Linked DNA regions of Canis lupus familiaris. The protein of the gene in region 1 interacts with the protein of each later gene in a pairwise test. Links are inferred from orthologs where the notes say so. Each region holds a gene or a part of one and is shown in the gene's direction. Other genes may lie near its edges.

What was found.
Region 2: the proteins of CREB3L1 (region 1) and TMEM218 interact in binary tests that used the Homo sapiens proteins (3 or more experiments, as listed by UniProt). The link is inferred for Canis lupus familiaris from reciprocal best matches to the Homo sapiens genes CREB3L1 and TMEM218.
Region 3: the proteins of CREB3L1 (region 1) and FXYD3 interact in binary tests that used the Homo sapiens proteins (3 or more experiments, as listed by UniProt). The two-hybrid records come from large-scale screens. The link is inferred for Canis lupus familiaris from reciprocal best matches to the Homo sapiens genes CREB3L1 and FXYD3.
Region 4: the proteins of CREB3L1 (region 1) and TSPO interact in binary tests that used the Homo sapiens proteins (3 or more experiments, as listed by UniProt). The two-hybrid records come from large-scale screens. The link is inferred for Canis lupus familiaris from reciprocal best matches to the Homo sapiens genes CREB3L1 and TSPO.
Region 5: the proteins of CREB3L1 (region 1) and MFSD5 interact in binary tests that used the Homo sapiens proteins (3 or more experiments, as listed by UniProt). The two-hybrid records come from large-scale screens. The link is inferred for Canis lupus familiaris from reciprocal best matches to the Homo sapiens genes CREB3L1 and SLC61A1.
Region 6: the proteins of CREB3L1 (region 1) and PRKAB2 interact in binary tests that used the Homo sapiens proteins (3 or more experiments, as listed by UniProt). The link is inferred for Canis lupus familiaris from reciprocal best matches to the Homo sapiens genes CREB3L1 and PRKAB2.
Region 7: the proteins of CREB3L1 (region 1) and PLP1 interact in binary tests that used the Homo sapiens proteins (3 or more experiments, as listed by UniProt). The two-hybrid records come from large-scale screens. The link is inferred for Canis lupus familiaris from reciprocal best matches to the Homo sapiens genes CREB3L1 and PLP1.

The regions. Positions count from the first base shown.
Region 1 is NC_049239.1:43,564,038-43,568,317, reverse strand, and holds the end of CREB3L1 (cyclic AMP-responsive element-binding protein 3-like protein 1), read left to right. Parts: intron 1-13; coding exon 14-140; intron 141-2,679; coding exon 2,680-2,947; intron 2,948-3,070; coding exon 3,071-3,107; 3' UTR 3,108-3,780; downstream 3,781-4,280.
Region 2 is NC_049226.1:9,394,753-9,397,047, forward strand, and holds the end of TMEM218 (transmembrane protein 218), read left to right. Parts: intron 1-1,060; coding exon 1,061-1,195; 3' UTR 1,196-1,795; downstream 1,796-2,295. UniProt on the Homo sapiens protein: May be involved in ciliary biogenesis or function.
Region 3 is NC_049222.1:118,298,803-118,302,966, reverse strand, and holds the start of FXYD3 (FXYD domain-containing ion transport regulator 3), read left to right. Parts: upstream 1-1,364; 5' UTR 1,365-1,501; intron 1,502-1,585; exon of another isoform or gene 1,586-1,730; intron 1,731-2,875; exon of another isoform or gene 2,876-2,882; intron 2,883-4,164. UniProt on the Homo sapiens protein: Associates with and regulates the activity of the sodium/potassium-transporting ATPase (NKA) which transports Na(+) out of the cell and K(+) into the cell.
Region 4 is NC_049231.1:23,355,149-23,359,104, reverse strand, and holds the start of TSPO (translocator protein), read left to right. Parts: upstream 1-1,156; 5' UTR 1,157-1,231; intron 1,232-3,956. UniProt on the Homo sapiens protein: Can bind protoporphyrin IX and may play a role in the transport of porphyrins and heme. Promotes the transport of cholesterol across mitochondrial membranes and may play a role in lipid metabolism, but its precise physiological role is controversial.
Region 5 is NC_049248.1:44,704,825-44,708,996, forward strand, and holds MFSD5 (molybdate-anion transporter), read left to right. Parts: upstream 1-1,372; 5' UTR 1,373-1,412; coding exon of another isoform or gene 1,413-1,948; intron 1,949-2,085; 5' UTR 2,086-2,103; coding exon 2,104-3,456; 3' UTR 3,457-3,701; downstream 3,702-4,172. Other genes in the region: translation initiation factor IF-2-like, read left to right, coding at 1,036-1,281, 1,413-1,948. UniProt on the Homo sapiens protein: Mediates high-affinity intracellular uptake of the rare oligo-element molybdenum.
Region 6 is NC_049238.1:58,294,633-58,298,563, reverse strand, and holds the start of PRKAB2 (5'-AMP-activated protein kinase subunit beta-2), read left to right. Parts: upstream 1-1,131; 5' UTR 1,132-1,298; intron 1,299-1,303; exon of another isoform or gene 1,304-1,387; intron 1,388-1,579; 5' UTR 1,580-1,604; coding exon 1,605-1,760; intron 1,761-3,931. UniProt on the Homo sapiens protein: Non-catalytic subunit of AMP-activated protein kinase (AMPK), an energy sensor protein kinase that plays a key role in regulating cellular energy metabolism.
Region 7 is NC_049260.1:77,751,107-77,753,764, forward strand, and holds part of PLP1 (myelin proteolipid protein), read left to right. Parts: intron 1-487; coding exon 488-749; intron 750-1,816; coding exon 1,817-1,985; intron 1,986-2,479; coding exon 2,480-2,553; intron 2,554-2,658.

The DNA.
Region 1 (4,280 bases):
CCTCTACTACCAGGTGGCAGCCTTGTGCTTCGTTCTGGTGCTGGGCTCACTTGTGCCCTGCCTCCCTGAGTTCTCCTCCAGCTCCCAGACTGTGAAGGAAGACCCCATGGCCACTGACAGCGTCTACACAGCCAGTCAGAGTGAGTGCCTCCTGAGCCAGGCTACCTTCCCTCAGTCTCAACTTCGGGGCAAAAGCCAGATAAAAGAGAGGAGGCCGGCTTCCAGGTTGGCAACATCTCATTCGACCTCTTCATTTTGCAAATGGAGAAACAGGCCCTAAAGGGTCTGTGATTTATTCAATGTTCATTGTGGAATTGGGACCACAATGCAGGCTTCCCGATCCCAGCCCACCCAAGAGTGGCCTGCGGGGGTGGGGGTGGTTTAGGGGATAGTGGGAATGTTCCCACCCTGCCCTTTCCCACCGCCCCACCCCCAGGAATTACAGTAGCTGTGGTTATGGGCATCTGCTAGAAACGATTAGTATTTCACACCTGGGACAACAAATGAGTTGAGGTTCCAGCGCCCTACCCAATAAGCTGGTGGTGACTGTCCGAAGCACCGTGTAAGGAGAGCCAGGATCCACTGGTAGTGTCAGGCGTGTGCAGAGGAGGGGCAGTTGTGGTTGCAGGCTCAGACCTTTACCATCCCCTGGGTGACTGTGAGGTACGGTGCTTAAAGAGCATTGGGCCTCAGAGTTGGTCATGCCTGCCATCACCACTTGCTGACTGCGGGACCTTGGGCACATGTCTTGAGCTCCCTATGCTTTAAATGTCTTCATCCAAAAAACAGGAGTTACAGTTCTGCACTCACTGAGCGTGGTTGTCATCACAACTAAATGGCATGATGCACATACACTCTTAGCACAGGGTTCAGTACACAGCAGGCGCTTACTAAAGGAGCACATTCCCTCCCTTTTTGAAGACCTCACAAGAGGAGAGAAGAGAGAGACAATATGTGGGCGGCAAGGAGAGAACTGGTAGAGGGTGCGGCAAAGAATAGTATGGATTTCCAGAGGCAGAAGGGACTTCAGGTAGACCTACAGAGGAACTTCCTCCCTGGGAAGGAATTGTCTGGCAGGGCAGGAGGAGGAAAAGGAAACGGATGGGAGGTCAAAGAGGGAGGAGACAGCAGGAATAGGACTCAGGAGGGATAGGCAGGGAGAATGAGCTAGACCAGCAGGGCCTTCAGAGGTGGAAGGGGTGGGGAGGGTTAGAGGAAAAGGAAGTGGAGGCGTTGAGTGGTTGACTGAAAGCCACTCCCAGGACATGTGTGGCCAGAGACTCTTCTTCAGGACAGTTGCTGAGGGAGGTGGGGTGCAGGGGGTGTGAGGCCTTGAGAGTCATGAATTCATTCTCCAAAGCCAGAGAGGCCCTCTTCCGGTGAATTTGGAGGAAGAGAGGGATGTGGAAGGTGGAGGCCATGTTGATGGATGAAGCCAGAGTCTGAGGAAGTGAGGGGATGAATGAGCTCCTTGGAGTGAGTGCAGTGGGTTGCAGACTCCCAGTGTGCACCTGTGGTAGGACTTGGCTTCTAGAGCTGGCTGGCTTTCAGAGCAGGTACATTGCTCAGTTGCAGGGAGTGCCCTTTACACAGACTCTTAGGTCATGGCCTGAGGGCAGGAAGGTGGTGGTAGATCCTGGAGCCAGACGGACCTGGGTTTGCCTCTGGCTTCCAGCGTAAGCCCAAGTATCTGATAAGCTGGAAACTCAGTTACCTGTTCTATAAAACAGAGCTAAAAATATCTCCTTCCCAGGACTTTCAGTGAGATATGAGTGATTTGATATGCAGGTCAAAGGGCTTTGCACAATGCCACGCACAAAGGAGATATCCAACAGATGTGTTTTCTTTTCCTTCATTTTCCAGAAGGACACACTAGGGCCTAGAATGGGAAAGGGGGTGGGCAAACTCCTGGGTGGCTCAGTGGTTAAGCGTCTGCCTTCGGCTCAGGGCGTGATTCTGGAGTTCTGAGATAGAGTCCCACATTGGGCTCCCCACATGGAGCCTGCTTCTCCCTCTGCCTATGTCTTTGCCTCCCTATCTTTCTGTGTCTCTCATGAATAAATAAATAAAATCTTAAAAAAAAAAAAAAGAATGGGAAAGGGGGTGCCTGGGTGGCTCAGGGGGGTTAAGCCTCTGCCTAGCTGTTCCCTCCCACCCCCCCTTTACTCCCCCAAGACTCCTTGCTCACCGGGAAATCTGCTTCTCCACCCCCCCCCCTTGTGCTCTCTCTTTCAAAGAAATAAAATCTTCACCAAAAAAATTTAAAAATAAAAGGGAAGAGATTGATTCAAGTTCTCACAGAAAGTGAGTTAGTAGAAGCAGGATCAGAACCCAACTCTCAGATGCCCACCCTGGTACCCAGTGCTTAGGAAGAACTACTTTCTCCAAGTTCTTCCCTAAACAATTTTCAATCACTTTCCCCAGATTGTCTCATTAAACCACATTTCTATGAGGTTGGCCCTAGTATCCCTATTTTACAGATGAGCAAACTAAGGCTCAGAAAGGTTAAAGCAAAGGCCTGACTCACCTGAGGTCATACCAATTGGAAATGTTAGAACTGGGGCTCAACAAACTCAGGCCTGTAAAGTTGCAGGGCCCTCATCCCTCACTGTTGGGCTGGGAATGTGGCTGGGAGCAGGGAGCCTCTGCACTGAAGCTCACCATGAGTTCTCTGTCCAGTGCCCTCCCGGAGCCTCCTGTTCTATGACGAGGGGGCAGGCTCGTGGGAGGATGGCCGCGGTGCCCTGCTGCCTGTGGAGCCCCCAGATGGCTGGGAAATCAACCCCGGGGGGCCGGCGGAGCAGCGGCCCCAGGACCACCTGCAGCATGACCACCTGGACAGCACCCACGAGACCACCAAGTACCTGAGTGAGGCCTGGCCAAAAGACATCGGTGGAAACGGCACCAGCCCCGACTTCTCTCACCCCAAGGAGTGGTTCCGTGAGAGGTAAGTGGTTGGCCCTTTGCCATCCCAGGGTCCCAGGCTCCACCCACATTCTGCTCCAGCATGCAGAGAGGTGAGAAGCTCCTCACTGGACAGACTCACCCCAGACTTCTGTTCTCTTTCCAGGGATCTGGGCCCCAATACCACCATCAAACTCTCCTAGGCCGCGCCAAGACCCAGGACACAGGACCTACCCTCTGGCACCCAGAAGAGGGATTGTCTTGCTCTCTAACCCGGATCCAGCTTGTACCCCTGTCCCCTGGGCTCCCACCCCAGGAGAAAGGGTTCCACTTCTCCCCAGCCCTATCTTTGCCCCAATCTTTACCAGGGCCCCTCCTTTCCCCACCACATTTGGACTGTTCCCTTGGGCCGACCACTCTGTTCTCACCCCTCCCTCCCACAGTCATCCGTCCTTCTCAGATAAACCACTCACTGGGCTAACCCCCTCCTTTCTCATCATGACCAACACGACCACTGCCTGCCCGCCCCCTCCCCGCAAACACACCCACCAACATACCGACACACCCCCCCACCCCCGCCCCACTGTACAGAGACCAAGAACAGAAATTGTTTGTAAATAATGAACCTTATTTTTTATTATTGCCAATCCCCTAAGATATTGTATTTTACAAGTCTCCATCCTCCCTTCACCCCTCCCTTGTTTTATATTTTATAAAGTTAGTGCGGGCTTTGCTGTTCCCGGGCCCTCATCTGGCCTCCCCCTGCCGCCGCCCAAGCCGCCAGGCCTTTTTAATTGCCAGACTGCTTCATCCATCAGCTCAGCACATGCTTTAAGAAGGCAAAAGTAAAAAAAAAAAAAAAAGATGCAGCATCAATTCCTGACTTTGTGCCTTTCTTCATGGAGGGGGGTGACCAGGACCTGGGGATAGGCAGTGAAAAGGGGAAGTTGATTTTATGTCCTGCCAGGGGTTCATTGGAGAGGGCAGGGGTGAAAGGCATTTCTCCCAGGCTCCCTCTTCCCTCTGGGCGCAGGATTCAAACTAGACAAAGGATTCTGCTGTAATGTCCCCACCCCGCGGCCCCTCCTCCTGCGCTGCCTATGGAGGTAGAGAGGCCTGGCAGCCAGTCTTGGCCTTTGGGGATGCCACCTGCAAGCATCAAGCACCTGCTATGGACCAGACCCTGGGCCAGACACCTTCCGGGCAGTACCCAGCTTGGTCCTCCTGAGACCCACCGCATTTCAGCTCTTGTATCCTCGGCCTCAGCTGGGTCAAAAGTACAGACTTCACGGCAGGAAGAGCTGTGCTCGACTGCTGGGACTGCCACTTACTAGCTGTGTGTGGTAGGCATCCAAGCTTCCTGCCCCCCAGGCTCC
Region 2 (2,295 bases), on another chromosome or scaffold:
CCCTTCCCTTTTGAAGCTGTGAAGTCATCCTGTCACTTGGTTCATGTTCCAGTTCCATTAGGTTCATAGATTAAATTGCTTTTTCCTGCCCTGATTTAAGCACCACTCATTGGATCTGGGAAGAGTAGAGCTCTGGCAGCAGACAGTAGGCAGGTGGGCAGAGCCAACTCTAAGTATAGGTTTGGTCCGCAAAGACCAACAGCATTGGAGCCTCAAGTATGAGTGCAGGCACCCAACTGTATGATTTGGGGCACGTTATCTATCCTTTCAACATTTCAGTGCCTCAGTCAAATGGTCATTTAACCTAAGCCTTGGAGCACTGGATTATGAATGTCAGGGTTCAGGACCCTTCTGATGAAAGTTTTAAAGAATCACTTTTCCATTTTGAAAATGAACTCTCCTGAATCAGCAATGAATGGGTTCATGATTTGGGGGCTTGATCTTGCATATATGGAGGTTATTACGCTGTTATATTTTTATATGTTTAAAATTCTCCATAATAGGGACGTCTGGGTGGCTCAGTGGTTGAGCATCTGCCTTTAGCTCAGGGCATGATCCTGAGGTCCCAGGATTGAGTCCTGCATCGGGCTCCCCGCAGTGAGCCTACTTCTCCCTCTGGTGATGTTTCTGCCTCTCTCTATGTGTCTCTCATGAATAAATAAATAAAATCTTTTTAAAAAGTAAAATATTCATAATAGAAAAGTTAACATCAAAAATGAGCTTTTCTAAGACCAAGCAAGCAAGTTTCTCATGAACTCTTTCAGATAACTGATTTCAGAACATAAAAGAGCTCATCCAAGGTCTTTGCAGTGTTTATGAGCCTCCTTCTAAATTGAGCCATTTTTTTTCCCTGTCCTTCATTAATCTTATCTTTATCTCATATTTCCAGCTCAGGGTGTTAAGGTTCTTTCTTAGTCATTTACAGAGGAGATTCAGAGCAGGATGTTACTGGAAGTCACAAATAGAAATGGACTTTGGGCCCACTCATCAAAGATTTCAGATGAGCACAAGCAGGGTGCTGAAGTGATAGTAATTTCATTTTTGATGTTTCCTTCTACAGATTGTGGATTCCTTTTTCATTGGCCGCTATGTCCTGCTGGCTTTCCTCACTGCTGTCTTCCTTGGAGGCCTGTTTTTGGTTCTCATTCATCATATCCTGGAGCCAATCTATGCCAAACCGCTGCGGTCCTACTGAGCACTACTCAGGAAGACCAAACCATTCTGTCCTTCACTTCTGAGGTCACTGATGAGCAGAAAGGTACTCTTCGGAACCTTATTTTGACAGCCTTCATGCCTTAAGATTGGAGAAATATCCATTCATGACTAAGACAAATCCCTTGAGTCCTGGCTTCCAGAAATGGGGTTGCAAAATTGGCCCTGCCGAGATGATTCTCACCATCTTCAGAGGGATAGTGTGGTCTTAGCACCTGTTCCTCAGGTTTTCAATATGTTTTGAAAAGGTAATGGTAACAGTGACCTGCTTCCAGTAGATTTTCAATCAAGACATCAGTAAATGGATTTTGGGAAAAGGAACACTTTGGTTTCTTCTGTCCAGTAGACTGAAGACTCTTGTCCTTTTGAGAATACACAAGATTCTTTGTTAAAAGGGTGGGATCATTTGGGAAGGAAAGGCACTCAAAGTTCAAAAGATTATTTTAATGGGATGAGTTGGAAGAGTTACCCAGGTACTGGTTGTTGACCAGTTTGCATATGGTGCCACAGAATATGTACAGACAATGGGTGTCACTTCCCTCTGCTCTAGTAAAGCAATAAACAATCAGAGGACCGACTTTCACTTCAGAGTCTTGGCCACAGCTTTCTCAATCTATATTCTCTATTTGAGAGTTGCTTGGGTATTAGAAGAAGATATGGAAATGTTGGTTGCTTGTCTTGCTGCTATAAATCTCCGGATTCTTTCTCTTTTAGCATTTGGTGGCTTTCAAGTGCCTTTTTAAATTGTCATAGGATCCATTTGGGGTTATTATCATTTCTTTTTATCTTTGTAGCTTTTTCTCCAAAGCTGGTAAGGAATATACATACATTCCAAGGATTAGATACAATTTTATACCAGTCTCAGATCCCACATCAACCAAAATTATAATTAAATGGAGGGGCTCTAGGGTGGTTCCTTTTTGGAAGTTACCTCCTGACTCCCTAGAACTAAATGAAGAAGGATCTTCTGGCTTAAAATTAAGAACCAGAAAACAAGTTGGAAAGAAAACTTTGAGCATGTGCTGAGCTATGTGCCAGTAGTATACAAGTTCCCTTGTAATTCAGTGTATTTAAATTTTACAA
Region 3 (4,164 bases), on another chromosome or scaffold:
CCGAGACAAAAGACCCCCTTAGCTGCACTGGGATCATCCCCTCCAGGCCTCCCTTGACTGTTTCTGTCTCCCCCTGAACCTCCCACTTTGATGGAGCCTCTCACCCCGAGTGCCCCCTCCACTCCTTGTAGGGACTTCTTGATGGGAGCAGGGCGGGGGAGGCCTTGTCCTAGTCTAAGGCCTGGGATTGAAAAACTGCCTGAGGGAGCCACATAAAGAAAGCATGTATCTGGGCTTGCCTTCCTTGCTTCCCCAGCCCTTCCTGCTAGGAAGTGGGGGGGTCCTTTCTCCCTTGCCCTGCGGACAACCCCCAGCAGACAACCCCCAGCAGAGTCTTGACCTCGGAAACTCCCTTTCCCCATCCTGTACTCCGCACTCTCCCTGGCCTGGCTCCTGCAGCCCTCCTCCCCTGCCCCGAGATGGTGTTGGGGGTCGCCTGGAGTCCAGCTGGTGGCCAGTGCAGAGCCACCCCTTTCCTGGCCCTGCCCCTCCCCATGACCCCAATCCTCCGCCAGCCACTCAAAGGCGCCTTGTTCTCCATCCAGCCCCCAGACAAAAGTCCCTCTGTCTAAAAAGGCAGAATTAGGGGGAGGGGGCACCCCAACGAGGACCATGTGGGGGCCTACACAGACCCCAGCCAGAAAGAATGCCATGAGGAGGAGGGGCAGGAGGGGTGAGGGAGGGAGGGGGCCTTGCACCACTGAGCAATGGCCTTATCCGGAGTGGGAGGCAGCCTCCACCCCAACGCCCTCGGCCTGGACCCAGGCATCTGGCTCCCAGCACCCTCGGGAAGAGCCCGAGCTAGGAAGGTCTGCCGATGCTCAGAAACCAGTTCCCAATCTCTCCAGGGCACGTTGGGCACTTGGGAGCGAGGTCATAGTCTAAAGCCCGAAGGCGCCCACCTTCCACTCCTGTCACCACCTTCCACCTCATGACCTTGGTCCTATCAGCATCATCTGCTGACCCTCAAGGGGTCGGAAGCAACAGGCGATCTGGAAAGGGACTTCAGATATCCTGAAACTGCCACCAAGCCCTCCTGGACCAAGTGTAGCACACAATCTAAGTGATAGACATGAGATTATCACCCCAGTGCCTCGCCTTCCCCCCACCATTCTTCCAGACAGAAGCTTTGCTGTTGGAGACCTCAACCTTCTTCCTTCCAGGTCCCTTCCACGGGGGCGAGACATTGAAGAAAGCCCCCTGTCCTGATGTGAGGAGCAGAATCCAGCCCATCGTATGCCCCCTCCGCCTACCTGAGGCTGCTGTGACCTTGGGGACCTCAGGGAGCACCCTGGCTGGGAAGAAGGATGTGGGAGCTGTCTCTTTAAGAGCAGGAATGGGGTGAGAGAGCCCCAGAGCTTTAGGGAGTCCGACTTGTTCTCTACCTGCCCAGGTTTGCCTAGGGCGTGGCAGCTGCGGATAAAGGCAGGACTCAGGCTTAGCAGCTGCATTCCCTCCCTTCTCTCCCAGAACTTTCCAAGCCTTCTGGGGAGCCACACAGGTGAGCGGCTGGGGTCCCCTCCCTCCAACACCCTCTTGGCTCTGCCCCCAAACCACTCCAGCTTTCCCACTGATCTCTGTTAAAGACACTAACTAGAACTTCCTCCTTGCAAGGATTTTTCCGGGGAGGGGGGGGCAAGGAGCAGGAGGCAGGAGATTAGACAAAGCATCTTCCATTGGCCTGATCGGGGGTCCCCCTGACCCTGATCATTCTGCCTTGAGGGGACTGGGTGAGTGAGCTGGGACGAGGGTAAGGTCCACATGTGGAAGCGGGGTGCCTGGGTGGATCGCGGGTGTCAGAGTGGACCAGAAGCATCTGGGTTGGGCGTATCTGGGTGGACAGCGTTGGAGAGGGGTGCCTGGGTGGACGGGGGTATCCAGGTGGATCAGGGCCAGATTGAGGGTATCAGAGTGGATGCGTGGGTGGCGGGGTGGACTTGGGGTATCTAGGGATTGAGGAGTGTGGGTCCTGGAGCTTCTCAGGAAAGGGGATGGTGGCTTCCTGGGGAAGCTATAAAGTGGGGAGTTGGGTAGGAAATTCCAGGGACATGGGGGAGTCATTCTGCGTGGGCTTGATGGCCACCGTCATGGAGAGGCCAGCAGAGCGCGGACGGTGGAACCGGCCATCGCACTGGTGTTGGGACCTGCAGGGCAGGGAGGGAGCCTAGAGGGGTGTGCAGAGCCCCCATCTGCAGGCTGTCATCATCTCCAAGTCCTCACACCAACTACAGTCCCTTCGGGAGCAGCTCAGGGCCCCTTCCAACAGCAGCCTGGGCCGGGAAGGGAAGGTGAGGGCAGCCTGCACTGCAGGAGAGCCAGGCTGGAAAGTTTGTCCTGGGGCTGGGGTGCAGCTGAGATCACCCTTAGGTCTCCCCTGTGCCGGGGACGCCTGGACAGGCCCTGGGGATGGGGAGTAACAGAGCCCTCACAGCCGGGGGGACTTGGTGCATTCCATGGGAAGAGGTTTCAGAGCTAGGGACTCTGGGCCCTGGGTGAAGCAGACAGCACTAAGCTGAGTGAGCAGGGGTTACAAGGCCGTGGCAGCAACGTGGGGTGACCACGGTGCCAACATCATTGAGCGGCGAAGATTCTATGAGTGAAGAGCTGAGACCAGTGCCTGGCATGGGGTAACCGCTCAAGTAGGCCCTAGCTCTCACTACGCAGGCATCCTCTCGGGTGACAAAGCCTCACGAGGTAGCTTTATGTATTATTTATTTTTTAAAGATTTTATTTATTTATTCATGAGAAACACAGAGAGAGGCAGGGACATAGGCAGAGGGAGAAGCAGGTTCCATGCAGGGAGCCCGAGGTGGGACTCGATCCCAGGACCCTGAGATCACAACCTGAGCTGAAGGCAGATGCTCAACCACTGAGCCACCCAGGTGCCCACGAGGCAGCTTTAGAGGATAGGTGGTCCTCCTACAGACCTGCGCCCTGAGCCACCAGGCTGTCCTGCCCACACACCCGCTCCAGCTCTTCTCCCCAATCTCTGGGGTCCTAAATGCCTTAGTAATGCTCCCCAAAGCTACGGGCCCCTTCCTGCAAGAAATGGTTGCATTTGAGTCCACTGTAGGGGGTTAACCGCTGAGAGGATTGCCAGGACCTGAGTGGGCACAGGGACAGGGAGGAGTGTGTGAGAACAGGCAGGAAGGAGAAAGAAACTCGAGGTGGGGGTTACGTGGGGGGTACGAGAGAGATGGGTGGTTCTCTTCAGCTGTAGAGAGGATCCTGGGGATGGAGCAGGGAACGTCCAGGGGCTCAGTGAAATGAGGGCTGGGACAGATCACCTCCGGGGGTGCCAGGGGGTGCAATGGGTGAAGACACAGCAAGGTCGCTGGGCAGTGCCCAGCACAGGATGGGTCGGAGGACAGGCGAGTTCTGGCTGTCAGCATTTTGACAGTGTATGCTTTTGGCAGCAGGGCAGGGGCAGGGGCAGGGGCAGGGGCAGGGGCTGGGGCAAGAGCAGGGGCAGGAGCCGGGGCCGGGGCTGGGGCTGGGGCTGGGGCAGGGGCAGGGGCTGGGGCAGAGGCAGGGGCAGGGGCTGGCGCAGGGGCTGGCGCAGGGGCTAGGGCAGGGGCAGGGGCAGGACAGGGGCAGGGGCAAGGGCTGGGGCGGGGGCAGGGAGAGGACATGGGAGGGTGCACAGAGAGATGGGGCTTATCTCAGGCACTCAGGATGGGGGCAGGGTGGGCTGATACCAGACCAGGAAAGGGACGGAGGGATTCTTTTTGCTGCACAGCCCTATCTGGGGAAAGAGGAAATAATGGCTGCCAGGAAGAGCTTGGCAGGAGCTGGGGCAGGGGCAGGGGCAGGGGTAAGGGCTGGGCAGGGGCAGGAGCTGGGGCAGGGGCAGGGGCAGAAGTGGGGCAGGGACAGGAGCTGGGGCGGGGCACAGGTAAGGGCTGGGGCTGGGGCAGGGGCAGGGGGTGGAGCTGGGGCAGGGGTAGGGGCAGGGGTAGGGGCTGGGGCAGTACAGAAACCAGGGCTTCCAGGGTTGTGGAGACAGATGGGACTGGGGCTGCAGCCAGGTGGCTCCTCCCTGCTCTGGCCCCCCCCCCCCCCCCCCCCCCCCCCCCCGCACCTCCACCACCTCCACCCCAGGCTCCAGTGCTCTCCTCTGCACATCCTGCTCTGAGCAGCCTAAGGAGCCAGCTCCGGCCTGAC
Region 4 (3,956 bases), on another chromosome or scaffold:
GTGTGACTGTTCTCAGCCTGACCCTTTGGCCCTGGCCTGCTGCAGATATTTGGGGGCAGAAATCTCTTGAGCCTTGAGCTCCATGTGTAGTAGGGGTGAGGCTAGAGGGAGGGAAGCTGCATAGTCTCCTCCAGGGCTGGCTCTTCCGGGGGAGGTGAATGTGTCACTTGGCCAAGCCACAGGTACTTCGTTGCAGGAAGAGGGCGAGGGCTGGCAGCTCCCTGGGAGGTGTGGCCCCTTTCTTCCTGAAGGGCAGTCACAGTGCCTGGGGCCACAATACTTGAGGGACCCAGGAACACGTCTTAATTTCTTTTAAAATTAGAAGAAAAAGAAGCAATCCAGCCCAGATTATATTTGTTTTTATATCGAAGCAGTGGAAGGAGGGAGGGGCTCACAAAAGCCCACCTGGCAGGAGGGTAGCTCGGATGGGAGGCTCCAAGCTTCGATCGTTGGGCAGAAGAAGCTGTAGGTCACCGTTGTCCTCCAAGTACCAAGTTTGGCAACTTGGACTCCTGTAGGCTGAGGGGCCCTGCCTGGCCCAGTCAGCCCGAGGTGGCCAGGACAGACCCTGGGCGGCAGTTAGAAGGCGGCACCCGCAGACTCAGAGGAGGTGAGGGATCCAAGGCCCGGGGCTGGACGTGCTGTGCCCATCAGGGTGCGTCTGGGACTGGAGGTCACCTCCGGGCTGTGCTGGCTGCAGTCCCGGCTCAGTGAGAGCCCAGCGTCTGCACGGCGCCCTGCCTGCATTGCCCTGCGGCGTCCTCACCCGGCCCACGATCTTGTGCCCATTTTACAGATGAGGAGATGGAGGCAGAACCAGTCACAAAGTGGCTGAGCCAGGACTACGAGTCCAGCCGGCCTTGTGCCCCAGGGCGCCAGGTAAAGGGGGGGGGGGCGGGAGGGCGGGGGGCGCGGCGGGGGGGCTCCTCCGGCGATGGGGGGGCCACAGCTACTGGGTGCGAGGCCTTTCGGGGCTTTGCTGTCAGGCGACGTAATTCCCCTCTCTGAGGTCGGTTCCCGCTGCCCCAATTTTCCGACGGGAAAGGTGAGGCTCAAGAAGAGAAGCGACCTGCCAGCGACACAGCGGGGACGCGGCCGGGGCGGGGCGGGCGGGGCCGGGGCGGGGCCTCGCGGCAGGGGCGGGGCGGGGCGGGGCGGGGCGGGCGGGGCAGGGACCTGGGCCACCACCCCGCGCCGCGCAGTGCCTTCCCGGAGCGCGTCCTGGTCGCTGGTGAGTGGGGCCCGGGCGCCGAGGGGCAGCGGGCGGGCGGCCCCGCGCAGGGCCGATCCCCGACAGCGCCCGCCCGCCGCCGCGCCGCCGGAGGGTAAACTGAGGCAGGAGGGGATAGGCCGGGCCCCAGGGCGCGACTGCGGGGCGGCACTAGGGGCTCAGCCGCCGGGACGGCGGGCGGCCGGGGTTGTGACCTCCGCAGTCGGGGCTCCTGCGCGGCGGGATTCCGCCCGGCTAGCGGGGATCGAGGGGAGCGGGGGGTTGGGGGCACTTGGGCAGCCCGGCCCCGCCCCGCCCCGCCCTCCGCGCCCCGCCCCCGCGCCCCGCCCCCGGCTCGGGTCTGGCGGGAAGCGGAGCCCCCGGGAGGGCCCCGACAGGCTCCCGGCGCGGTCCGGTTCCGCAGAGGGGCCAGCCGGGGCGGGAGTGGCCGGGCGGGGTGCCGCGGGGATCGAAGCGCCTGGCGGTCCACTTGAAACGCTCCATCCTAGACGCGGAAACCCGGGCCCCTGGGGGTGTTTGCACGCAGCCACGTCGGGCCCCAGCGGGCCTGAGAGCCGGGCCCCAAGATTCCCGGTCGGTGCCCGGACAGGGGCCTGGGGTGGGCAGAAGGGCCCCAGGGACCCGCCTGTCCGCAGTGCCCCCTGCAGGGGAGCTCGGAGCCGTCGGCAGGGGTGAGCGCGCCGCGGGTTTGGGGTCCACCCGGCGGCTGGCCTGCCCGGCGCAGCGCCCCCTCCGGTCCCGGTCCCGGTCCCGGTCCCGGCCCGCGCTCTGCAGCGGAGGGCAGGGGCGCCGGGCTGGGGCCTCCCCTAGGGACAGGACAGTTGACCGAGGCGGTTCCCAAAGGGTCACGGGGCCTGGGGAGGATGGCAGAGGGGCTGCGTCCGGAAGGGCGCCAGGGTGCCGGCCTCCCGCGGGCCGTTGACCCAAAGCCTCAGCTGGCAGATTGGGCCTGGAGCTGCGGCGCCCCGCAGGGGAGGTGGGTGGGGAGCCCTGTGCGGCGGGGGACACGGCAGGGGACACGTCTGCTTCGTGGAGCCCGAGGTTTGCCCGCTGCCTTGAAAGGCACGAAGGAGCTCGGGGCGGGGGATAGCGCCTCCCGCGGGGGTCCCCGGCTCCGGCTGCTCAGCGGACCCAAAAGGAGGCGCAGAGGGAGTCCTTTGAACTAAAGGAAACTGAGGCTCACCCAGGAGCCCCTGGGCAGGCACATCGTGGCAGCGCTGGAGCTGGGGTTCAAACCAGTACCGTTCAAGGCCTTGCTTTGTACACTGTGTCCTTCTGTGCGTGTGTGTGCACACGTGCGTGCATTTGGGGCCCACATTTGTGCCTGGCAGTGACCGAATCGTAGCTGGATCTGCCGGAAACCACTGATGGCAGCGGGTTGCTGGGGGGGTTGGTGCTTGGAGGGAGGGAGCCTCCTTTTTCCTAACTACACTTTCGCCATTTTCATTAGTTTATTTTGGAATCTGTGTTCCTTTGATTTGTACTTTCTTCTGATTGTACAAGCCACGCCTGAATATGCCCTTTGTGTTTACAAAAGTAGTCATTCTCCATGGAGCACATTTCCCCTGTCACTCCCAGCCCTCCTGGTCACCAGCTGGATGTGGATCCTCCCCAACTTGTCTGTTGTGCTTTCATAATGAAAAAGATTCACGAAGGTTGTAATGCGGAAGATTAGCTGTAAGTCACGTTAGAAAAGGAAGGAACCTTAAAACAAGTCCCAGGACAGCGGTGGCGCGTGAGCGACAAGGTGGAGGAGGGCGGGGCGCCACCGGGAGGAGGAGGAGGGCTCTCAAAAGCAACACTATTCTGTTTCTGGGGAGCAGTTCCTGCCACCTTCTGTAGGAAGGCCTCGGGGAACAAGAGGACGCCCCAGAGACTCTCTAGCTCAGCCCCCACTTCACAGATGGGGACAGAGAGGCCTGGGAGGTGAGATCTCAGGGCCAGAAATGGGGAGCAGGAGCGAAGCATCTTAAGGACAAGAGTTCCCTGAGTCCCACTCTTGGGGCGACAGGGAGGATTCACATCCTGTAACTGCTGCTCCTGCCTGGGAGGGGGTCTCATGCTCTGGGGGGGCTGCAACACTAGCGCTGGGGCTGGAGGGAGTGAGCCTGTTGGCTCCGAGATAGTCTTCTACACTGGGCAGAGAGTGGGACCCCTGAGGTAGGATGGGAGCCCCCTGCGGCCCCCCAGGCCTTGCGCAGGCCTTACCTGCCATGTTGGGATGAGAAGGAGGTGACACAAGGTAAGTGACCATGTGGCCCAAGGCTGAGGCCAGCAGACTCCCAGCTCAGGGGAGGGGGTGCTCTGGGCCTCAGAGTCACACAGACCTAGAAAATTCTGGGACTCCCTGTGCCTCAGTTTCCTTATCTGGATGGTGGGAATAGTAATGTCCACTATGGAGGCCAGGAGGGTGTGGCTCAGGGCCCCCAGGAGAGAGGCAGCTGGTTGCCCCCCCACCCGTAGCTGCTGTGAAGAGTAAGTGAAGTAATGAGCATCAGGATGAGCCACCAAGCACCACGTCCATCACTTGTTCCCCAGAGATCTAGAACCTTCTCCTGACCCCAGGTCCTGAGCCCTCTGCTTTGACCCTTCTCGGTGGTTTTGGAAGTGCTCCTCTGTGAGTGGCCCCAGGCCTGTGGGTGGAGCGTTCTGTTTAGCCTTTTGCCCCACTTAGCATCCAGTGTCTGACTGGCAATGTCTTCTCAGACTTGGGTCTATGCCCCGG
Region 5 (4,172 bases), on another chromosome or scaffold:
TCTTCAACTTCATTTCTTTTTTTTAGTGATGTCTACACCCAACATGGGGTTAGAACTCCCACTTCCACCCCACCCCCAAGACCAAGAGGCAAATGCTTTTCTGACTGAGCCAGCAAGGTGCCTCCCCAGACCCCACTCCCCACCCCAGTAACTGTTTTAAGTACTGGAAACACAAGTGAACAAATAGATAAAAACCTTTAGGGAGAAGAGATAATAAATAAATAAAATACATAATGTGCCAGATGGTGTTAAGTGCTATGGAGAAAAGACAGCAAAGGGGAATGAGGCTGGAAGGACAGCAGGTAGATCTCTAGTGGAGGTGGCCGTGTTGCTGTTTTCAACAGGATGGCCCGGGAAGGCCTCTCTGATAAGGCAGCCTTGGAACAGGAAACCCGAGGGGCTGAAGGAGGGAATCATGTGGGTCTTTGGGAGAAGAACCTTGCAGGGCACAGTGTGCAAAGGCCCTGGAGGTCCCCAATACAGATGGAGTAGGAAGAGTCTGGAGAGAGGGATGCCTGGGTTGCTCAGTGGTTGGGCGCCTGCCTTTGGCTCAGGCCATGATCCCGGGATCCAGGATTGGGTCCCATGTTGGGCTCCCTGCATGGAGCCTGCTTCTCCCTCTGCCTGTGTCTCTGCCTCTCTCTCAGTCTGTGTCTCTCATGAATAAATAAATAAATCTTTAAAAAAAAAAAAAAGAGTCTGGAGGGAGAATTGTAGATAAAGTCAGAGAAGTGGCAGAGGAACCCGACACAGAGGGTTTCTAGGTCATCACGAAGGCCTGGGCTTCCATGCTCAGTGAGGTGAGAAGCCGTCGAGCCACTCTTAAATCTGGAGCACAAGGGAAAGAACCTTTCCAGGGGAGCACGGCTGGTAAGGGGCGAGAGGTGGGCTGACCCTTCGCCCTTTTTCCTCGGGCACTGCTCCCCCCTGACAGCAGGCAAAGAAATTGGGACACTAAGTGACGGATCTGGGGTTGGGGCCTCGGCCGGCTGCGTCCCCAGTCCCCAGGCCCTTGACCCACACCGCCTCCCTCAGGTGTCTGCGCCGCACCACGTCGGGGCCCAGGGCGCTACCGCGGGACCGGCCCGCGGAGGGCAGCCCGCGCGTCGGCAGGACTGCGGCACTGCCCTGCGACGGAGGAGAGAGAGGAAGTGGGTCTTTATGTGGAGGCGGCGCCGCAGGTACCCGGGAGTCGGAGGAGCGGCTGTCACGGGAAGGCCGCGGGGAGGGCCAGCTGCCGCCGCCGCCACCGCCCTGCTCGGCGGCCTCCGGGAGCCGGGGGCGGGGCCTGGAGCGCGGGGGCGGGGCCTGGGCGGGCCGGGGGCGGGGCCTGGGCGCCTCACCCCGTCACGTGACGGGGCCATCATGGCGGCGGCCAGAGGCCTCCCCGGCTCCCGGAAGCGGGCTGTGAGGGGCGGGCGCGCTGCTGGAACCCGAGCCCGAGCCGGAGCCGGACGTCGAGCGGGCTGGGCGGCGGGGCGGCCTGGAGCCGGACGCGTCCGCGGCGTCCCCGCAGCCCGGGGCAGCAGGTGAGCCGCGGTTGGGGCGAGGCGCGAGCAGGCGTGGCGGCGCGGGGGCGCCGGGCTGGGGCTCGGGGGCGCGGCGGGGGGGCCCGGGCCCGGGGTGCGCGCGCGGGACCCTGGAGCGGCCCTGGAGGCCGGCGCGGGCGGGACGCTCGGGGGCCCAGTGCAGCGGCCCGGAGAGCGTGGGGGTGACGCGCCTGCGGAGGCCGAGCTGGGCGAGGGCAGCAGCCCCTCCACCCGCGCGGCCGCCGTCGCCGTGTCGAGGGGACCCCCTCTTTGCTGCGCCGGGCGAGGGTGGGGCGGATGCTCCTTCTCCCCTCGCCCCGCCCTGCCCCGCAGTGTCCCGGGAGACCCGGCCTGGCGGGCCGCTCCTCCCACCCACCCAACTGGTCCCTCCGGTCCGAGCTCCGGGGGAGTGGAGCTGAGCGGCGGGGAAGTGCAGGTGGCGGGGGTGGGGTCGGGTGGGGGGTGGGTGCAGCTGCTTCTGCGTGGACACCCGCCCCTTGGCAGTGCTGCCCGGGCAATGGATGTAACTCCCACCCCCCCTTCCTCCCCTACCTAGGTCGTCCGGGGGCCCGCCATGCTGGTGACTGCCTATCTTGCTTTTGTGGTCCTCCTGGCCTCCTGCCTGGGGTTGGAGCTGTCAAGATGCCGGGCTAAGCCCCCTGGAAGGGCCTGCAGCAACCCCTCCTTCCTCCGGTTTCAACTGGACTTCTATCAGGTCTACTTCCTGGCCCTGGCGGCTGACTGGCTCCAGGCCCCCTACCTCTACAAACTCTATCAGCATTACCACTTCCTGGAGGGGCAGATTGCCATCCTCTATGTCTGTGGCCTTGCCTCCACAGTCCTTTTTGGACTGGTGGCCTCCTCCCTTGTGGATTGGCTGGGTCGCAAGAAGTCCTGTGTCCTCTTCTCCCTCACTTACTCTCTCTGCTGCCTAACGAAACTCTCTTGGGATTACTTTGTGCTGCTGATGGGCCGAGCCCTCGGAGGGCTGTCCACAGCGCTGCTCTTCTCCGCCTTCGAGGCCTGGTACGTCCATGAACACGTGGAGCGTCATGACTTCCCTGCTGAGTGGATCCCAGCTACCTTTGCCCGAGCTGCCTTCTGGAACCATGTGCTGGCTGTAGCGGCAGGTGTGGCAGCTGAAGCGGTGGCCTGCTGGATGGGGCTGGGGCCCGTGGCGCCCTTTGTGGCTGCCATCCCTCTCTTGGCTCTGGCTGGGGCCTTGGCCCTTCATAACTGGGGAGAGAACTATGATCGGCAGCGTGCCTTCTCAAGGACTTGTGCTGGAGGCCTGCGCTGCCTCCTGTCGGACCGCCGCGTGCTGCTGCTAGGCACCATACAAGCCCTGTTTGAGAGCGTCATCTTCATTTTTGTCTTCCTCTGGACGCCTGTGCTGGACCCACATGGGGCTCCGCTGGGCATTGTCTTCTCCAGCTTCATGGCAGCCAGCCTGCTTGGCTCTTCGCTGTACCGCATTGCTACCTCCAAGAGGTACCACCTTCAGCCCATGCACCTACTCTCCCTTGCTGTCCTCATCGTTGTCTTCTCCCTTTTCATGTTGACTTTCTCCACCAGCCCAGGCCAGGAGAGTCCAGTGGAGTCCTTCATAGCCTTTCTCCTTATCGAATTGGCCTGTGGGCTGTACTTTCCCAGCATGAGCTTCCTGCGGAGAAAGGTGATCCCCGAGACAGAGCAAGCTGGTGTACTCAACTGGTTCCGGGTGCCCCTGCACTTGCTGGCCTGCCTGGGGCTCCTAGTTCTCCATGACAGTGATCACAAAACGGGCACTCGGAACATGTTCAGCATCTGCTCTGCCGTCATGGTGATGGCTCTGCTGGCAGTGGTGGGACTCTTCACCGTGGTCAGGCACAATGCTGAGCTGCGGGTACCCTCACCCACCGGGGAGCCCTATGCCCCTGAGCTCTAGCCCGGTTCCAGGACAAGGGGGACTGGGAAGGACTCTCGAATCCCACCTCTCCGGGGTGGTATACAGATCTCTCCGTGACAGACTTTGCAACTGTCTGGGCCTCAGCCTGTCCTGGGGCCCCTCCTGCCAGTGCTTTGGGTTGGAGAGTACATGGGGGTGATGGCCTGGAAAGAAGATGCCACAAGTTGCCTCTGTGTTACTCCCTCTCCCCTTTCCATTTAAAAATAAACACTTTTAACTGGTCATTGATTGGATTTGCTCATCCTCACCTGCACCCACCTCAGTAGTTTCTGGTGTGTGGGCAGCCGGAGAGTTTGAGGCTGAAGGTGGGCTTATTAGCAAAAGGCATTTGTAGTTCTAGTCTCCAAGACTGTCTCCAGTTTAAACCGAGAGCTGTGGCATTGCCCCTTTGCTGAAATGGGTGGGGACTGCCTGAGGCTCCTGGGTCTTCTATATCTTGTTGCCCTGGGGACAGGTACCCTCTCCAGTTGCCCAGCAAGACCCTTGCTCCACAATCAGGGTGAGACAGTCTCTGGAGCAGGTGGTGTGAACAGAGATTCCAGGGGCTTGAGTTGCCTCTGTGACCACCCCTTGGGGCAAATCTGAAACCTTCCTGCAGAAACAAGCTTGCACCTCAGCACACATATGCTACCTGCCTTCTGTCTCTGTGGCAGAAGGGACTGTTTGTCCCGCACCACGTGCTCCCACCAGGTCCT
Region 6 (3,931 bases), on another chromosome or scaffold:
ACAAAATAAAGCTGTTCATTCAAAAAGGGTGGCCTTGTACGACGTGGCATTCCCCCATCGCTGTTTGTTTAAGTGGTATTATCTTGTTAGAAATGTAGTAAACGGTATTATACCCTTCACTGTGCAAATATTTATTAAAAGCTTACTCCGGACAAGATGCATGCAGAACAGGAAGAGGAATCAAAACTAGACTTGCTCTCTGCCAGCCTTCAAAGCAGTGCTTGACACTTTAATATGTATACACATTCCCCTGAGGATCTTGTTAAAATGCAGATTCTGATCCTGTAGGATAGAGCCTCAGATTCTACACTTCTAGCCAGCTCCCAGGTGATGGCAAAGCTGCTGGTCTGTGTCACACACATTGAGTGATAACGGTTTCCGCTAGGGAATCGGAAAAGCACATAATTATAACACAAAGAATGAATTAGTAAATACCATACACGTTCCATTAATCATCAGCAAAAACCTAGATCCGTTCCAACCCGAGGACAATCTCTGTCCTTTTCTGCTCTCACTGTTCCTTCTCTTCTTGTTGGTCTTCCTCAAATGGCATTTCTTTTGGGGTTGCTCGTTGCATTCGCGGTTTCTTAGCTCAGAATAGCTTTCTCCTCCTCTTCAGACCAGTTTCACGCATCTGTCAAGGTTTCTCGCCTAATTACTCCTTCCTCACTGGGGCCCCAGTCGAGGCTGCTCCCCACCGCAGCCAGCTGGAAGGTACCTCAAGCAGTCGCCACTACTTCCTTCTGATTCCAGGAGGAAATTCTGTTTCTAAATCCCTGGAGGAACCCACCTGTCCGGGTTGCCCAGAGAACGTTCTGTTTAACCTGAAGCCCGGTGAGGCGGGCGGCAAGGAGGCAGCGCCGCTTCTCCGGGTACGGAGCGCCTGAGGCCGGGAGGCGGCCCTGCGGTCCCTGGAGCCCGTCTGCTCCGGAAGGCCGGCCCGCGGCTGACCGCGCCAGGGTTTCTGGGTCGGGTGGGCGGAGCCCGCGCCCCGCCCCGCCCCGCCCAGCCCGAGGCCAACGCGGAGCGGGCGCCCCCGCCTGGCGCGAGAGGCTGCCCACCACCGAGGCGGCGGCGGCGGCGGCTAGAGAGGCCGCGAGCTCGGGAGCCGTCGCCGCGCGGCCGTAGGGAACGCGCGCGGGGCGGGCCTGGCGCCCCTGGCCTCGTAGCCATTTTAGGAGGAAACCCGGATCTCCAGCCCGGGGCGCGGCTTCAATTTCAATAACTTTATTGGTGGACGTAACCGCAGAACAGCCATCTCGCGAGTGGCTAGGGGAGGAGGAAGAGCATCGCGGGAGGTGACTGGGGTGGGGGCTCCCCCGGGCAGTGAACGCGGGGATGCGGGGAGTTCCCCGAAGCGGGTTTCCCCAGCGGCGGGCGTCGAGAGGCGGGTGGCGGGTGGCGGGTGGGGGGTGGGGGGCCGCGGGCGCTGCCGGAGGCCGAGGAAGGAGGGGACCCCGGGCACGGCTTCCCTGGGGCGGGGATTCCCTGGCCCGGGTCCCCAGGCGCAGGGGCGGAGCGGGGGGCGTCCCTGACGCGGCCGCCGGGTGTTAAAGCCCCGCGTGGTTCGCCCCGGCAGGTGGCCCCCGACTCGAGCTACAGCCATGGGAAACACCACCAGCGACCGGGTGGCTGGCGAGCGCCACGGCGCCAAGGCTTCTCGCGCCGAGGGCGCCGGCGGCCACGCGCCGGGCAAGGAGCACAAGATCATGGTGGGGAGTACGGACGACCCCAGCGTCTTCAGCCTGCCGGACCCCAAGGTGAGTCTCCCCGCGCGCGCCCCGGCGGCCCAGCCCCCCTCCCCTTCCGGGCTCCTCCTCATCCCACCGACCTACGTTACGGTTTTCTGAATTAAAGGGATGGGGCTGGGGAGGGGGGGGGGGGGGGGGGGACGGAGATGTTGGAGGGTAACTGACGCCTGCGGCGCTGCCTCGAAATACTATAGAGGCGGGGTTTCTGTCGTTCGCCTGACCTGCTGGCCATATTTTTACGATGGGGACTGTAGAGTCGTCCCCCCCCCCCCCCCACAACGCCACACACACACACACACCCATCCCCGGTTTTCCGAACAGGCAGGAGCCCTCTTGGAGAGTAGTGATGAGTTTATGGGTTGTAAACCCTATAGACCCTGGTAGAAAACTTCAAAGACGGTAGGTTGCCTGAGTGGCTGATCATCTGAGACAGTTTCTCAGGTTTACCCTGAGGTAGGCAAACGAATTTCTTTTTTTCTGATAACCTGTAGGTATCAGTATCATTTTTGCTCCTCTAAGAACCCAGCACTTCGGATCCTCTTCCCCTTTGGCAGGATTGTGAGCAGCAGCCACTTGCCTATTTGATACTTTCTCCTCGTCTTGGAGATCAGTACAGGACTTCCTTTGGCTGACTGCTCAGTTGTTCATCTCATCCTTTATATTGCGGTTGGCTGAGGTGCTTCCTTCTTCACACCCAGCTACTGGTCAACTGGGAGAGCAAACGATCCAGGATTTCTCCTCTTCCAGTAGGAATTCGTGATGTTACCATCGCTGAAAACGGACAACCCGCAGCTGCCGGGCAGGCAGACCTTGCTCTCAAATCCAAGGACTTCCAGAAAAGCGGCAACTTGTGCCCACCCGTAGATTAGATGGAGTTGACTGCAATGGGATTACCATCCGAATATTTCTAGTCCCATTTAGAGCTGTCAGCATGAAATAACAATAATCCCTCCAGGCAGTCCGAGTGGGAGGAAGTAGAAAAAATGGAGGGATTGAGGAGATTCAGGTGTGTTTGATGTTTTTTTTTTTTTTATCACTTCAAACCTTTCACCAAATTGGGGTTTTAGGGAGTAAAGAAATGATTTGCCCCATTGGTAGCACATGAAATTTGGATTCTGTTTATTTTCTTGAATCCCAGTTGAAAACATAACTACAGAAAAAGAAGTGAAGGTGGTTAAAAGCACCATCTTGGGGTTTCGTCTCCATTCCTTTCTTCCTTCTCCCACTTTAGAACTTCTTTCTCAGCATTTGGGCCATCTAGCCAGTCATTTTGAATTTCCTTAGAAGCTTTCTCAAGGTGATCCACCTCCTAATTTTACCCTTTTCCTATGTCAATGACTCAGGATTTAAGTACAGTGTATTTGTCAAACTCTGACTGCAATAATTGGTGTGCTGAATAAAAGCCAGGTTGCTCCATCTGAAATGGAGCCTATTTTGGTTCCTTCCTTCCCTAACCCCAGTCTTGCCATTTGTGAGTAAGAAAATTGGTTCAGATAATTCCTAAGGTCTCTTATACATGTAAAATTTTATAGTTCTCAATCTAGTCTCTTTACTTCTTCCTTCATTGTTTTACTTAAATATTTTCAAACTGTAGTTCTCATTGTTTTGCCTCTTTTCATAATGATTTTGCTGACAATTTAACTTGGAGTAAATGGTCTTTCTGCTAGTCAGCTGCACTCAGGCCTGCCACGGAAATGTCATGTCATATGTGGAAGGGCTTTCTTCCAAAGCCGGGCATGTTAATAGTTTGTAGCTTTCAAATTCGAAATTGAAAATACTAAATCATCAAAGTGACTCATAGAAACAGTGGCAGTGGGGTCAACATTGCTTCAAATGCCAGTCCTCTTCAGTGGACTAGGTCAGTGGTTCTCAACCCTGTTTGCACATTAGAATCACCTAAAATTTGTTTAAACACTGTATGGAAAATTAGAGACATTTTCCATGTTTCAAAGTAGTTAGAGTAGTATAGTAAACTCCTATATACCCATCACCCAGTTTAAACAATGATTAAATTTGAACAAATTTATGTCATGCCTATGCCAGTCCACTTCCCCCTACCAAATATTTTGAAACAAATTCCAGACATCCTATCAAATATTATTTTATCTGTAAATATTTTAGGATGTATCTGTAAAGTTGAGGTTTTTTCCTTTGTTTAACATAATCACAGTAATAATATT
Region 7 (2,658 bases), on another chromosome or scaffold:
CACTGCCTGCCTCCCACTACACTTACTTAGTACCACATGTTCTAACTTCTGCCCATAGGGTAACATTGACTGAGTTGGAGCCTCTGCAGTGATAGGTATGGAGAATTCAAGGAAGGTACAATGACTAGACAGATTGGGGCTGCTGCTCTTGGTTTGACATACCATTTGAGTCTGCTCAGACTCCATACTGAGACTTTTGTGTTCCTAGCACATTAGGCCCCTATTCCTTCATTCCTCTTCCTCCTGGTGTAGCTTCTTTCTTCTTTCTTCTCTGAGGGAACATCTCTGAGGGGTCAGGCCAAGGAGAATAGGACCTCAGTTCTTTAGGTCACAGGGTAAGCAAGGAGCGGAGGAACCTAGCGATTCCTCTAAAGAATCCCTAGCCTCATTTGGGTGCTCACTCAAGTGTCCACCTTACTTATGCAGGAAGGGAACTGTCCTCAATTAGTATGATTTCCTGATATCTTTTGTTTATCTGTTAATGCAGGATCCATGCCTTCCAGTATGTCATCTATGGAACTGCCTCTTTCTTCTTCCTTTATGGGGCCCTCCTGCTGGCTGAGGGCTTCTACACCACCGGTGCAGTCAGGCAGATCTTTGGCGACTACAAGACCACCATCTGCGGCAAGGGCCTGAGCGCAACGGTAACAGGGGGCCAGAAGGGGAGGGGTTCCAGAGGCCAACATCAAGCTCATTCTTTGGAGCGGGTGTGTCATTGTTTGGGAAAATGGCTAGGACATCCCGACAAGGTGATCATCCTCAGGATTTTGTGGCAATAACAAGGGGTGGGGGACAATTGGGCGTGAGTCTGTGGCCTCATCCCCACCCAAGGCTGGGTCCTCTCTAGGGGCCTGGCTTTTGAGTGAGGAAGTGATGGCTACAGCCGAACGAGAAGGTCAGGAAGAACGTGGTGCCCAGCTGGCTTAGCCTCACCTTTCAAAAGTTCCCTAGAAAATTTCATCTCAAAAAATTAAAAGCATAAGTTTTGTGAACACTTCATAAAATCAGACTATTTCTAAGCCATCTGTTGGTATTCCTTTACTTTCCTCTTAGCAAGGACCACAACAAAATTAGATTTGACCACCTAAGAGCCTAAATGCTACTCATGGGATTGAAATGCAGGCACCTGATCTGAGAGGGAGGGTAGATCATGGAGATTAAGTAATTCCACTCCAAGGTGGAATTCACAATATTCTGGGATTCTGCACTGTTGGAGGTCCCAGAGGAAACTAGCATGGATCTACATATTTAATGCTTCATCTTTGTCTGAGGGTTATCCATGCTTCTGGTGAGGCATACATTGCTTTTCAGTCTCTAGAGTTAAGATCTTCTGGGGATTGAATATCTGTGGGTTATGGTGATATTTTTTGTGGCCAGCAGTTGGCTTAGAATGGTTTTGGGATCTGAAATTTAAACCTCCTATTGGCTTTGCTCAGTGACTGTCCCCTATGCCAAGGAACATTTTCTAAGCTCAGCTTAAGGCAAGAAATGGCACGACTTTCTTTCAAGATCTGTTTTGATTTCTTTACATCTTATCTGCCCAAAACAAAATCTCCTGAAGCCTCTCTAACCCAGGGATCCTCCTCACTCCAACCCCCACCCATTCCCCCCACCCTCCATCACACTTGGGGCCAGTTTTCTAGTAGATACTGCCAATGACATTTGGCAGTGGTGTCCTAATTACTAATTTCATTTGGTGGAGATCCCTGGAACCTGGTTTCATATCTGGCACACACCACTCCAGGATCTCCCAGTTTGTGTTTCAATGTCTACAGGCCAATGCTGATTTCTAACCACTCCATGTCAATTGTTTTAGTTTGTGGGCATCACCTATGCCTTGACCATTGTGTGGCTCCTGGTGTTTGCCTGCTCTGCTGTGCCTGTGTACATTTACTTCAATACCTGGACCACCTGCCAGTCAATTGCCTTCCCCAGCAAGACTTCTGCCAGTATAGGCAGTCTCTGTGCTGATGCCAGAATGTATGGTGAGTTAGGGTATTGGGGCCTTACCTTCCCTACCTCCTATGAAAGCACTATATATTTGTTTCTTAGGATGACAAGGGTGATAACTATAGAGAAAAATATTATGGATGCCTGGATCTTACTTTGTTAATCCCTCCCCACTGAAATTGGAGAGATTTCTTCCCTTGGTATGGAACTTCTCTTGGAAGTGGTAGGAGTTTTCTTGGCTGTCCACACTGCTCTAGCCTGGTTGAGAAGCAGTACATTTCAATAACAAACACAAGATTACACAACTGTTCAGTTCCTCCTCCTCCTCCTCCTCCTCCTCTTCCTCCTCTTCCTCCTCCTCCTCTTGCTTCTTCTTTGCAAATCTTTATAAAAGAGGATCCCGATTGTTAGTAGGATCCCACTTTTCAGCCAAGATGATTAAAGATGGAAGAAGGGCTCTCAAAGAAAATCTCCATGGAGCCCACAACTTCTTGAAGCTCACCCTGGTAAACTTGTATGTCTTACTCAGGTGTTCTCCCATGGAATGCTTTCCCAGGCAAAGTGTGTGGCTCCAACCTTCTGTCCATCTGCAAAACAGCTGAGGTGAGTGGGTCATTTGAGTTCTTCTACAATGGAATGGCTAGTACCATACAAATTCCTACCCATGGCCTTTAATTTTAAAAATCAGAGTTGGTTTTTTATGTGTTT